Drosophila melanogaster: one gene and its partner. Changing the gene in region 1 together with any one later gene gives a genetic interaction. Each region holds a gene or a part of one and is shown on either strand. Other genes may lie near its edges.

The links.
Region 2: of dan (region 1) and hb, changing one enhances a phenotype caused by changing the other (phenotypic enhancement), as found in Drosophila melanogaster (one study listed by BioGRID).

The regions. Positions count from the first base shown.
Region 1 is NT_033777.3:25,182,423-25,187,385, reverse strand, and holds the start of dan (distal antenna), read right to left. Parts: upstream 3,004-4,963; 5' UTR 1,957-3,003; intron 1-1,956. UniProt on the Drosophila melanogaster protein: Probable transcription factor with a role in the retinal determination (RD) network. Regulates ato expression and is required for normal R8 induction and differentiation.
Region 2 is NT_033777.3:8,691,818-8,699,844, forward strand, and holds the start of hb (hunchback), read right to left. Parts: upstream 6,006-8,027; 5' UTR 5,509-6,005; intron 2,784-5,508; exon of another isoform or gene 2,639-2,783; intron 2,356-2,638; 5' UTR 2,338-2,355; coding exon 61-2,337; 3' UTR 1-60. UniProt on the Drosophila melanogaster protein: Gap class segmentation protein that controls development of head structures.

The sequences.
Region 1 (4,963 bases):
CACCAAGTTTGTCAGTGTGTGTGTGAGTGAGTGTGTGTGGAAGGGGCCCGTCTGTGTCTGATGTTGCTGCTGTGCACACATGCACACTCACACACCCGAACACTTACACACACCTAGTCAGGACAGGACATATGTATGCCGGAATGGCCATACCCGTCAGTATGTCTGTAATGGCCAACCGTCTGGCCATTTCATCGTACACGTGAGTGTGTATGTGTGTGTGTGTGTGGGCTAAGAGCTTCTGATTTTCCTATATACAATTATAATTTTATTGTATTTACTATTTTTTTCGTTTCTTTGGCTTCGTATTGAACTCACTCACAGACACAGAGGGGCAATGCATGTGGCAATGTGGCAAGGACACCAAGGAGGGTCAAATGGGATGGGTCGGGATGAGCGAGGCGGGGGGAGGGGCAAGCGAAGGGGGGCAGGAGAGTCTGGCAAATGGAGGTCAACGACTGAAACTAGTACTAATATGTGCAAGCGTTTGATAGCTCCATTCGTTTGTGCTAATGCAGAAAGAAATAAAACACAAAAACGAGGCAACACATAAAAATAAGAATTCCGTAGATAAAAGAAAAAGTTGCTTTGGTCCAAACCCAATCGTGTGTTAGTGTGTGTGTGTCTGGGATGTCTGGGATGCTTCCCTCACCGCAGTTAAGTGTGTGCAAATAAACCATGTGTCTGCTGTAATGTTGGACCTGTTGGCACCAATGATCTATGTGGCTTTAAGCACTATTGCACCTTTTTTATTGTGTGTTTTCGTTTATGATTAGCCCGATTAATGTTGTGTCGGCATTTCGCAGTGGAACGAATTTATTAATTGTCGGGGGATTCAATATGAACTTTATCAAATTATCTAACTATGGTCTCATGTATGGGCAATACTATTTTAAACAATGAATCGATTTTCAGAATTACAGTTATATAATAAATAAATAAAAATATGTAAATCCTTTGATAATTTTCCTAGTGTTGAAATATCAGTGATGTTATGAATGATGTTGTTTTACAACACTGAAATGCTAATGATGTACGAGAAAAATATAATTATAAATAAAATAAAAAATAAGAAAGATAATAATAAGCAACTTTATTAAATACTTTCTAATTTATAAAACAAGATGAGAATAGTGACACAGAAGCGTTCAACAACTAAACGGATAGGAAAATAACTTTTTACCATAAATACAATCAAAAAGTATTGCATACATTAAGGGGCCAATAAAACCGGTTTCCTGTGTTTGTTAATATTGCAATTCAATATAAACTTGGTAGATAAAGGAAATCTAACTAAAACTCTTTAGTTATATAAAATTTACATTTTTTCAAGCTTATTTTACAAACCAAGTATCATATGGACAAAGTAATATTTGAATCTAAACTCGGAGGTAAAAAAATTAAATAAAAAATTAAAAATATTAATTTTTGATGGAAAGCAAATTTAAGTAATTGCTAACGCAGTGTTAGGAGGTAAATAATAAAATTACATAAGATATTAATGTTATACACAATATCTATCACTCCTGAATATTATTATAAATAAATATGAATAAATACTTTCTCGTAAAATATTTCCTGCTCTTTTGTATAAAAAAGTTGTTAAGTTGTTATTTGAAGGACCTACTAAGATTTGTACTTATTAATTTATAAAATGTGGCAACTATTCAAATACACAAAGAACTGCACTTATATTGTTTTCCAAATTGTGTAAAAATAATTCGTTTTTGTTATGTAGAAAGGTAAACAATAAATCTTCAAAACTAATCTCTCGAAAAACTTTTTATGTTTGGTTTCCGATTTAAATAAATATTTTTTGATTATTTAATATTTTTTCTTGTGTCACCAATTCTTCAAGTTGTGTTTAAAACACTCAGTTAACTGTTATTAATTAATGCAGAACTAACAATTACACTTTACGGATTGCTCAATTCACCGGTGAAATCAAATACTAACCTTTTAGTTATCTTCCGGGGGCGAAAATGGATCGGTGCCTTCTTCCAGCGAAGGCGGGAGAAATTCGGTGATAGCGCAACTATTTGCAGCAGTTAAATTATTCTTATCTCGACCGGCGATGTTTTTAAATCACTTTACTTATAGTTCACATGGATTTGAATTTATTGTTTTCAGTTAATGTTGTTGTTCATTTGAAAGTATAACATCACTCGGTCAATCACAATCGAACACTGTGCTCGCGATGCGGCGTGATGTTTACCGCTGCTGTGGCGTGCGAATTTTAGCGGCAGGACATGCGGTGCGGTGCGGTGCGACCTCTCTCTCGCGCTCGTCGAAGGATATTGTGATATTGTGACGCTGCGTCGCTGTGACGTGGATGTGCGAACCTGAGCGGCTAGCGTGCGGCGACAAACTACCGCGGCGGACTTGAGTGAATTTTGATTTTAGCGCGGCGAATTTCCGCACGGCGACGACGGCGGCGACGTCACGGGAAATTTAAAGTCGCACGTCCACGAAATGCGGCGTTTCGTTCTCACTCACATACACAAGCACACTCGCAGATATATGCGTCCTGCAGTGGTGGTTGTGTGCTGGTCAGTTGGTCTGCCTTGGTATTAGTAGTTTTGTAGTTGTCGTTTTTGTTTCTTTCACGTGTGCGTGAGTCGCTCTCTCTCGCTCCCTCTCTCGGACTCTCTTTCGCCCGCTCTCTTTCGCTCTCACTGTTGCGAAATTCGCGGCCTTTTTCGGTGACAGCCAAATGTACAATGATTAATAACGGTCAAGACGGCGGCGAAGAAGTCCTCTCGCTTTGGCTGCCCCGTTCGCAATATTCGCATTTTGGCATTTTCGCATTTTGGCCGGCCCAACCACAGGCCAGTGTCCACTCACACACACACATATCGAGCACACATACTAACACAGCACATCCTCCCACACACACACACACACACGTGCGGACACACAGCTGTGTGCAACGAAGACGACGCAATACTCGTGCTAGGCTTTTTGAGATTGAGAGACGCACATCCTTTTCGGCCTCCTTTCTTGCGCCCACGTGTGTGTGTGAGCACAGAGAGAAAAATCTTGATACCTTAGTAAAGATAATGTTATTAAATTTGGTAAGAATTCGAAATTTAGTATAATAATTTAGCAATTTTGTATCTCTTAGTTATGTACATATATTCCATGATTATAACTATGAAAATGAAATTTCATACAAATAAACGAATAGATGATACGATCGCTTGTGATGAAAAGTATATATTACTTTTCTGCCAAGCTTATATTTCCTTGTATTCTGTATTAGTTTTAGGTAAAATCTAGATTTTTTCCAGTGTAAGACTGTGTGCAACCTCAGGAGGCATTTGCTTGCGTTTAGCTAAGCCATTTTCTGCTTCCTTAAACGCTGGGCAACAACTATCAAACGAGCAACGGATCTGCGAGAAGAACGTGAAAAACCTAGCCGAAATCCCTGTCTAATTTTCGCAGTAGGGGGTGCGCCTTTTATCGTCACTGATAATTCTGCTAGTTTTCCCGCTGTCATGTGCTGCAGTTGTTGCTGTTGTGATTGCGGCCAGTTTTCCTCGCTTTGTTTTGATACATGCCTTCATCGCAGATTACGTGGGCTCGCCTCTCTTTCGCGACCGTTTCGCAAAGAGCTGAGGCAAATGAGAACCGAACATCCTCTTCCTTAAGAGAGAGAGAGAGAGAGAGGGAGAGAGCCAGTGAGAGAGCAGCTTTCGTCCTCGTCTTCGGCTTTTTGCCGCCCGAACCGAACGAAGTTATGACGGCAGGAGGTGGTGACCCCACGGGGAAACCCCCCTTGGGAAACCCACATTCTTGAAAACAAGGCGAATCCGTCCAACAGAGTGGCTTTCTTGGCTCTTTTCGTCGCTCTTTTCGCTGGAGCGTGACCGGCGATCGCCGAAGGAACCGGAATTCTCGAACGGACACTCGATCGCAAAGATATGGGCATGACATAGTGGTTGTTTCTCCATCGACTTTTGCAGGCAAATTGCTGCGGTTTAGAAATGTCAGATGGCGAAATAATCGAATTCAAATTGTGGGACAAGAAACTAATCAGCTGCAAATTTCAGGTGATAGCCAGCTTCAAAATATGTATTTCCCATATTTAGCTACCAAGAATAATATAATTGTAGTGTATATAGGTAGGCAGGACAATAACTTATGTTTTCCATTAAAGTGCCGACATATTCATACATATTCATATACTTAGTGCACAACATATTCAATGCTTGGTATACACCAATGTTTAACATGGTTACGCATTAAGATGTTTAGGTTCCTTGTAATATTAATTACCGAGCTGATAAGCTCTAGGTAGGAATAAAAAACCATGTTAAATAGATTGTTGATATCATTCCCAAGCAAGTTTCAAGTCAAAGTGTATTTTGATTAGTTCTGCGAGAGAAGAAAAACCTGACAAGTATTTGCACCATCGTGGGATAGCCCCGAGATTACGATCTTATATAATGCGTGTGTACACATAGGCATTTTGAGGTCGTAGACTTAGTAGTTGCTATGCAAAACATTTGCGCAGAGCACACACACAATCGCACATACATAGCTCCCTATTTCCCTATTGTATCTGGCCAACGAAGGCGGCCACTGACCATAATAACAACAACGGCAACGAAAAAGACAGCAGCAGTGTCGCCAGAGTTGCTAGTTGCTGCCTTTCGGGAAATCGCTAAGAAAGGTTTTTGAATCCATGTCCGAAACGCACAATCACACGTACACGCACAGCCACACGCACACGAAAACACAGGCCCAAGGATATAGTGTAGTCGTACATATAAGTAGAGGCGTATACACAACAAGGAGCAACAATAACGCAGGACTACGGAATACGGACAGCGGACAACGGACGACGGACGACGGACTACGGACGACCACGAGTATAGATGGCCGGCATGGGGCCGCATTGGCAAGAAACATATCCTTGCCACTAAAAAGCCAAGCAGCCTGCCCGGGTCGCTTCATTTCG
Region 2 (8,027 bases), about 16 Mb from region 1:
GACAACGATTATATGATAATAGTGATAAATAATAATAACAAGGTGATGGTGATGGGGAACTTAGGAGTGAGCATTCCTGGCCATGTGAACGAAGAGGCCGACGGGTCCGTCGCACTTCTCGCCGCACATGTTGCACTTGAACACATCGTCGCAGCTGTGGTAGCCCATGTGAATGGTGTAGAGCACGGCGTCCTTGAAGAAGATATCACAGTACTTGCACTCGTAGATGGCACCCGCCGCCGCCGGAGTTCCGGATGGAGGAGCTGCAACCGCTGAGGTGGTTCCATTGCTGCTGGAATTGCTGCTGCTGTTGCCGTTGCTATTGCTGCTGGCATTGGAGCTGTTCCCCGAGCTGGACGCCGTCGAACTGGCACTGGTATTGGCCTGCGGCACATGGGCCGTCTCCATCGACTCATCTGCCGAACTGGTGCCCGAGCAGTGCTCCTCGGGCATGGGTTTGCGTCCGGCAATGGGCGAGGATGCAGTTGGCATGGGTGTGCTGGGTACTTTCAGTTGCTCGGGAGATGTCATGGCCTCCGATCGCAGTTGTAACAGGGTGTCCAGCTTGAGGACGCGTCCCTTGCGTCTCGAGGCATTCGAGCTGCTCATCAGAGGCGTGGCCTCCTCCTCCACCTTGAGATTCATGGCCAGCGGCTGCTGCGGTTGTTGCTGCTGCTCATCCTCCTTCACTGGCGTTCCTTGGGACAGATCCATGGCAGAGTCCACTGACTTACGCTCGTACTCATCGTCCTGCTCCTCCTCCTCATTGTCGCTCTGCTGCTGGTTCTGTTGCTGCAGTTGCTCTCGCATTCTTGGCGACAATTGGGCCAAGACAGCGGCCTGTTGTTGGGCGGCCAGCATCTGGAGATTGAGGTTCCAGTAGGGGAAGAAGGCCATGTTGCGGTTCTGCTGCAGAAGGCTGGCCAGAGGAGGCAGAAGATTGGCTGGACTGGGCAAGCTGGGCGTCTGTTCCACACTGGCCACACTCTTGGCAGGAGAGGCGGGCAGCGGGAGCACTGGAGATGCCGCCGGAGGAGCGGAGTTGCCTTGAACCAGAGGGAATCCTTGCAGGGCGGCACTCAGCTGAGATGTGGCGACTGGCTGAGCTGGCTGAGATTGCTGTTGCTGCGGAGCGACAGCTGCAACATTTGACTTCCGGCTGCCGCTGCCACTTCCTCCACTGGCAATCGGTCCACCATTCTTGCTCTTCGGACCACGACGCGTGCCGTAAACATCGATGACCAACGAGGGATTCGGGGTGCCATCCTCGTCCAAAACCATGCCGGGCTTGTGACCATACTTGCGCAGATGCAGCTTGAAGCTGTGGCAATACTTGGTGGCGTAATCACAATCCGCACAACGGTACTGATACACAGAACTGTGCGACTTGCGGTGCGAGTTTAGCATGGATTTGTTGACACACGTGTAGCTGCATTTGTCGCACTGGAAGGGCTTTTGGTTCTTGTGCTTCCGGATATGGTACTCCAAGTGGTGCTTGAACTCGGTGACGAACGGGCACTTCGGGCACTGCAGGATCTTGTCTGGTTTCATGTGGGTGCGGGTGTGCGCCCAGAAGTCCACCTTGGTGATGGCCACCACGCCGCAGGTCTTGCACTTGTAGTTCTTCATCTTGCCGTGCGAATTGTAGATGGGCATCCGGATGTTGGTATCATCGTCCTCGGACTCGGCCATGTACTTCATGTCCTCGCTGGAGTTCGACATCTGATCGTGCTCCTTCTCCGGCTCAATATTCGACTGACTCGACTTGGCCGGCGACTTAGGCGGTGTGACATCCATGGGTGGTGTTAGTGCCTGCAACTTCTCGCTGCTGCCAGTGGCAACTGCAACGGGCGCAATTGTGGAGGCAGATGTGGGCGTGGGCTGCGGACTGGGTCGCAGATTGCCGCCATAGAAGTGCTGCATGGGATTGGGCAGACCAGGTGGCGTCAGCGGATTGAATCCACCCATCAGATGGTGATGGTGATGATGTTGCTGCTGGGCTGCCTGGAAATGCTGCTGGTACTGCTGTTGCTGCAGCAACTGTTGCTGCAAGTTAGCATCGTAATGCTGCAGGCTGTTTTGATCGTTTTGGCTGGGTGATGGGGTCATGGCGCACAGGGTATCCATGGGTTGCTGCTGAAGCTGCTGCTGCTGCTGCTTGAGGAACTGTTCCAGGTGATTGGTCGAGGGAATGGGCGATTGGCGCGGACTGCTGGCCACGCTATTCCCGTCGAGATGATGACCTGGCTCCTGTTTGATATTTGCCGCGAACATGCTGTTGTACCAGGCGTTGTGCTGCTCGTAGTTGGTCGTGGCTGTCGTCTCCCAGTTCTGCATCTTGGCGGCTCTAGACGGCTGTAATGGATAAGAAAACAGAGAGAGTGGGGTTAGTGGGCATATTCATTTATTCATTCATGCACTGCGCCTGCGTCGAGTTTTTTCCTCTTTTTTTCCGCTTGTTTTTCATTTTATTTTTCCTCGCTTTTATTTTTTTTTTCTCTTTTTTTGGTGTGCTTGCGGCACCACCCCTAACAAAAAATACGTCAGGGGTGGCTGGGCGGCACCCACCCCCTGAAGGCGATTTGAGTGATTTTGTGTTCAAAATGGAGACACTTGGTAATGGCTAACAATATCCTACCGTTTCGTGGCCGCTCAGTGCGTATGATTGCGATTGTATCGAAGTATATTCCAAATTTGTCGGGATTTTCGTAAGGATTTGCAAGTATATTATTGGTGCTGCTTCTGTTGTGTTGTCGCAGTGGTAACAAACTCGTGACTGACTGAACAATTGCAACAGGCATTAGTTTATATATCGCTCAGGTAGACGGATGCACGCGTCAAGGGATTAGATGGGCAGAGGTGACGGGAAGTCAGGTACAGGTCGCGGATCGGTCGGGAATCGAGGATCACGGATCGCGGATTGAGGATTGCGCTCTTGATCCATTCTGGATTAGAGCAGAAACAAAAAATTATGCGCACTTGGATTTGGATGATCCGGGAGCTTAGCGGATGGCCAGCTTAGCAGCGAGCTGCGAATTTTCCACCGGTTTTCTATGGGGATTACGTTGGTCAGGAGTCGACAGCAGGAGTAGGCAGCTAGCGTGGGCAGTTTCGTAGTTAATAATAAAAAGTAAAAAGGATTGCGGGACTTAACTAAATTAACGGATCAGAACTGCTTACACCTGCGGGAAAACTCTAAGGACCAACTAAACTATATGCATAATATGTGCAGTATAATTATTACACACCCATTTGAAAAACATTTTCCTGACAACAATTTTCCGCCAGACATTTCACTTTGATTTGCGTAGTTTTTCTAATAATTCTCGCATTAAAATTGCTTGTTGCCTATATTTTTTCCATTTCCAATTTCACACTGAAAAATTGTGCAGTTGCTGCATTTTTGGCTAATTGTTTGTGCTTTCAAGTAAATATTATTAAAAACGCAAAACGGGAAAAAGGGGCATTTACGGAATATTATTATGGGAGGATGGTGCTGTGCTATCTGGCAGCTAAAATATCTACAATACTTAGGCATAATTGATGGTTCAGGAAACAGAAAGTGCACCACACAAAATGAAGCTTAGCATATTTATTTAAATTCGCTTTTGTGGATATTTTTAAAGAAAGCCAAAATTAATTGCTCGGCAAGTGTGTTAGTGTGTGTGCGCACTATGAAACAAAGAGAATTTTCGCCTTTCGTCTGGGCTTTTTTGTGCCATGCCCAACAACAGCAACAAAGCCAAACTAAAGGCCAAGTGTAAAATTAATATTACGCCGGGCAGGGGCATGGGCCAAGGGGGCAGGGGTGGGGGCATGGGGACCATGCAGTGGGGGTTAGTGGCGTGGTGTGGCCACAACGAGTGCAGCCAGGCAACCGAAACTGCAAAAGTAAACTAAACATGTGCTAGTCGTTTTTGGTGCCTCCCCCCCCACCCCAACACCGCCCCCTTTTTAACCCTCTAAAAATATCATGAAAATGGCAAAAATGGAAAAATTCGAAAACGCAGAAAATGCGCCACACAAAAAATGTTTTTGTTGAAAAATCCGTACAAAAAGCAAGCCAAGAGCAGGATATGCCTGCTTGTTTGCAGGCGTATATAAAATATATGTATGTATGCGTATACATATGTGTAGTTGCAACCGTTATGTTGTTGGCTTAGAACAACTTGTTGTTTTTTGGAGCTGCATTCGTTTAGGGAAAACTGCACTGCTGCTGCTGACTGAAGTGATTCAATGTCATTTGCGGTTTATAAATATATCCCGTATAATATGTGCATATTTATTTTTATGCGCCTAACAAAGCCCCATTTGTTTGAAATGCGCTCAGTTCTTTTTGTCGGCAAACATTAAAACTGTCGGATGACAATCAATTCTGCAAAAGATCGTGCAATAATGATTCCCATCATCATCCTAAACAAAAAAAAAAAACAAAGCCTGCGAGCGTCACATAGGTGTATTCATTATATTTGAAATGCATTTTGGCAAGTGCCGAACTATTTGCCATTAAAAAATTGCCACGTTGACTTTGAATTATAGTTCGATGTCTAAATTTAAATTATTAAAAAAGAAAAGTCGAAAATGCATTTGCCGAAAGAAGAGCGAAAAGAAATGCTAAAAATTGAAGGGGTTATTTGGGGGGCAGGAAGGCGAAAAAAAAACAACATGAAAGTCGACATGTAAACAAATAAAATTAGCTGTCAGGCGTAGAGGGGGGCGTGGCCAGGGGCGTTGCTTAGGAGGAGCAAATGAGGAGGGGGGGGGGTCGGTTGGGGGTTGGATATACGCTGCAGTTCTAGGCAAAAACAGACAGAGCGGGCAAAAAACAAGTTCACCCGAAGATCGGCCAAAAGCCAGACAGATTTTAAAATATTGTTTTAGAATTTTTGCCATTTGCATTTTTAGCAATGATTTACCACTCTGTGTGGTTGTGTGTGTGCATGTGTGTGAGATCTCTTGTTTGTGTTCCTAAGGTTAGACAGAAAAAGAAGCACTCGATTACAAACAACAAGAAGAGAACAAGAAAATGTGCAGAACTAGAAGAAAGTTGAGTACTTGGGATTAAAGGTGATTATGACATAGAATAAGCAAATTGGTTATCAGTCATCAGATTAGCATGAATTAATAAAGTAAAATACATTAAGCATAGTGCATAATAGCATATAAACGAACTATTTAAATCTGTTTCTTTTGAAAGTATATCACATGATGAATTATAATTAAACAACTATATATCGAATATATTCTATAAAAAAAAACAGATTTCGTATCAATTGAGAACTAAATTAAAATTTACAGGGCGTATGTAAATCCTCACAAAAACTGTGTATATTCTGGATACCCCAACATTTTGGCATTTGCTCCCGCAAAAGCGATTTGTAATTCTTGTTTATTTGTTTATCCGCGGAAAGCTTTTGCGAATTTCTACCTCCATGTGTTTTTTACGATTTATTGGAGGTCGAATGCAGTGTATAACTAGGATATTGGATGGTACGCCCAGTTACTTACCTTGCGGACAGTCCAAGTGCAATTCTGCGGGAGAATTTGGAAACGGGAACCGGGAGCAGGAGCAGGAGCACGTAAGTTTTCGCTTTTCGCTCGCGGACTCTCTCTTTCCCACTCTCTCGCTTGACCGCGGCACGGTTACCGTTAGACCAACACGCACAGTGCGTGCGAGGGGGAGCGGCGATGTGGGGGCTCCTTGCTCTTCGTTTTTGTCTATTTTTTGGGCCTCGCTTTTTAGCTTGCTTTTGTGCTTTCTTTTTCGCGGAATTCGCGCATGTGCGGGATGTGGTCTTTGCCAAAAAATAAGTTTTCGGGACAAAAGTCTTTTTGCAATTGGTTATCTTTTAGCACAAGCACGAAGTTTAATTGTATTTAATGGCAATATTTGTTTTGATAGCAGTTACGTTTCGTCCTTTGGATGTTTGGTTATTTTTGTATTTCAGTGGCTGCCTGTCAATGCTGGCGACTTTCGTTTTCGGGACTCGGAGCACAACTGACCAAACTCACGCTCAGCGGGCTCTTCTAATAGCTGAAAATCTCCTCACTGCTCCTCACAACAGTGCACTCGCCAAAAAAGAACTCAAATCTAAAATCTCAATTGCAAAGCAAAAACAAATGCCAGAAGTGCAACAACACAAAGGCGCACGAGAGCCGTTACACGGAGAAGCAGAAATCGAAATGAGAGAGCAGCCGGAGAGCATCAACAACGTAACGACGAAACTCACTCAAAACGGATACGGATGCTAGCTGTAAATCTGAGTGACTTTCCCCATCCCCAAAAGCAATAACTAAACAGCATCCCCTTCGTGGCGTTCGCTCTTTCACTCACTCACCCACTCTCTCGCTCTGACTCGCTCATTTTATCCTTTTGCATTTTCTGGCGCTGCATTTTGGCCGAATGCAGCTGCCTTTTTGGCTCTTTGCCGTTTTTTGGCATCTCCGCTTCACTATTGATTATTGATTTCTGGCCCAAAAGTGAGAGAGCGGAAATGGAGGAAGATGGGGGGCCTTCGCCAATTGTTTTTTGGGCAACTTTAAGCCCAGACACATTAACAACTTAGCCAACTGCAATTGGGACGATGGAAGTTTGGGCCGAGGAGATTCCTTGTTGCTTTAACACATTTTCCTGTTGCTGTGCGTGTTAACTTAATTTGGGCAAAGCTTTGCCACAATTAGCATTCGAAATTCCAAATCTCCTTAAGGTAGTTTGTGCATATTGGGTGTATTCCACCTTTTTAAGCTAATTTCGGAAAATGTATCATTGTTAGCTTGACAAGGATTATGGTTAGCAATAAATGCATATCATTAATAGTATCATTCGGTTTAGACCAATTTTTTTCCCAAGCGGAATGTTCGCTTTTAGAATGATAAATTAGGAGCGATTGTTCTAACTAGGTTTAATGACAAATTTTGGACTAAAAAAAAAAACTATTATTATTATTCATTATTCATAGTTCATTGGTAAAAACCTTTTTTTCTCTATACAATACAAAAGGATAACTTATTATTTGTATGGATCAGAGTTTTTCTAAAGAAAACATACATGCAAATTCATAATTAAGTTCGGAATTAATGTGCCTCCAGCTATTTTATTCAATCTCCTGTTTATGTGGAATATTTGGGCTAAAATCTCCTGTTTATGTCGAATATTTTGGCTAAAACTAAAGTGGAACGGGGAGAAATTAGGGCGTTGGCAGAGGGGGTGGGGAAAATGTAAAAGCAATATTTACAAAACAACAGAGCAAACAAATCGCCGCCGGAATGCAAATTATACAAGTTGCTCTCACATATCCAGAGGAATATATGTGTCAAAAGGACGTCTCGGGAACAGGTAGTACCGGAGGTAGACCTGCCATTGACGTTGACATGGCAAACCGGATTACGAATACGAACTGCAACCGGACTTAGCGAAGAAAGGATTAAAGGACGCAAAGCTACCTGATCGGCCCGCCCAGTTCATTAATCCGCGCATCCGAAGAAGTGCGACTGGAACTAGAGTGATGTGGATTTAAAAGCGATTTAAAAGTTGGCCGTACTTCTGCACAGGACATAATCCAACATTACGCAGTACGCAGGATCACGCAGGATCAGCGCCGCTGATCCGGAGGATCCAGTTAGTCCCGAGCGATTAGCGTTCGCTGATCAGCCCGATTAGCGTTGCTTAGGCGGGCGGGTGCTGTGTGGATCCTACCCAGTTACGTTTGGAAAGTTATGTAAAGTTGAAGTTAAGGACATAACAAATAGTCCCAAGGACCGTCACGCTTGACCTTTTAATTGATGAGCTGCGATATACCTATCCGGTGATCGGGACAAACACAAACATGCTGATGATCATGATCGTCTAATTGCCGAAAGTCCATGCCACGCATGCAAATGATCCTTATCCTTAACCTTTGGCCTGCGGCTGTCTCAACAGAAGTTCCTTCGAGGGGAAGATTGGGCAGATCAACAGGGCGGATCCGCACATCTTTATCTCATGATCTTCGCATCTCCCAAATGATATGCAAATGTATCTGTAAGAT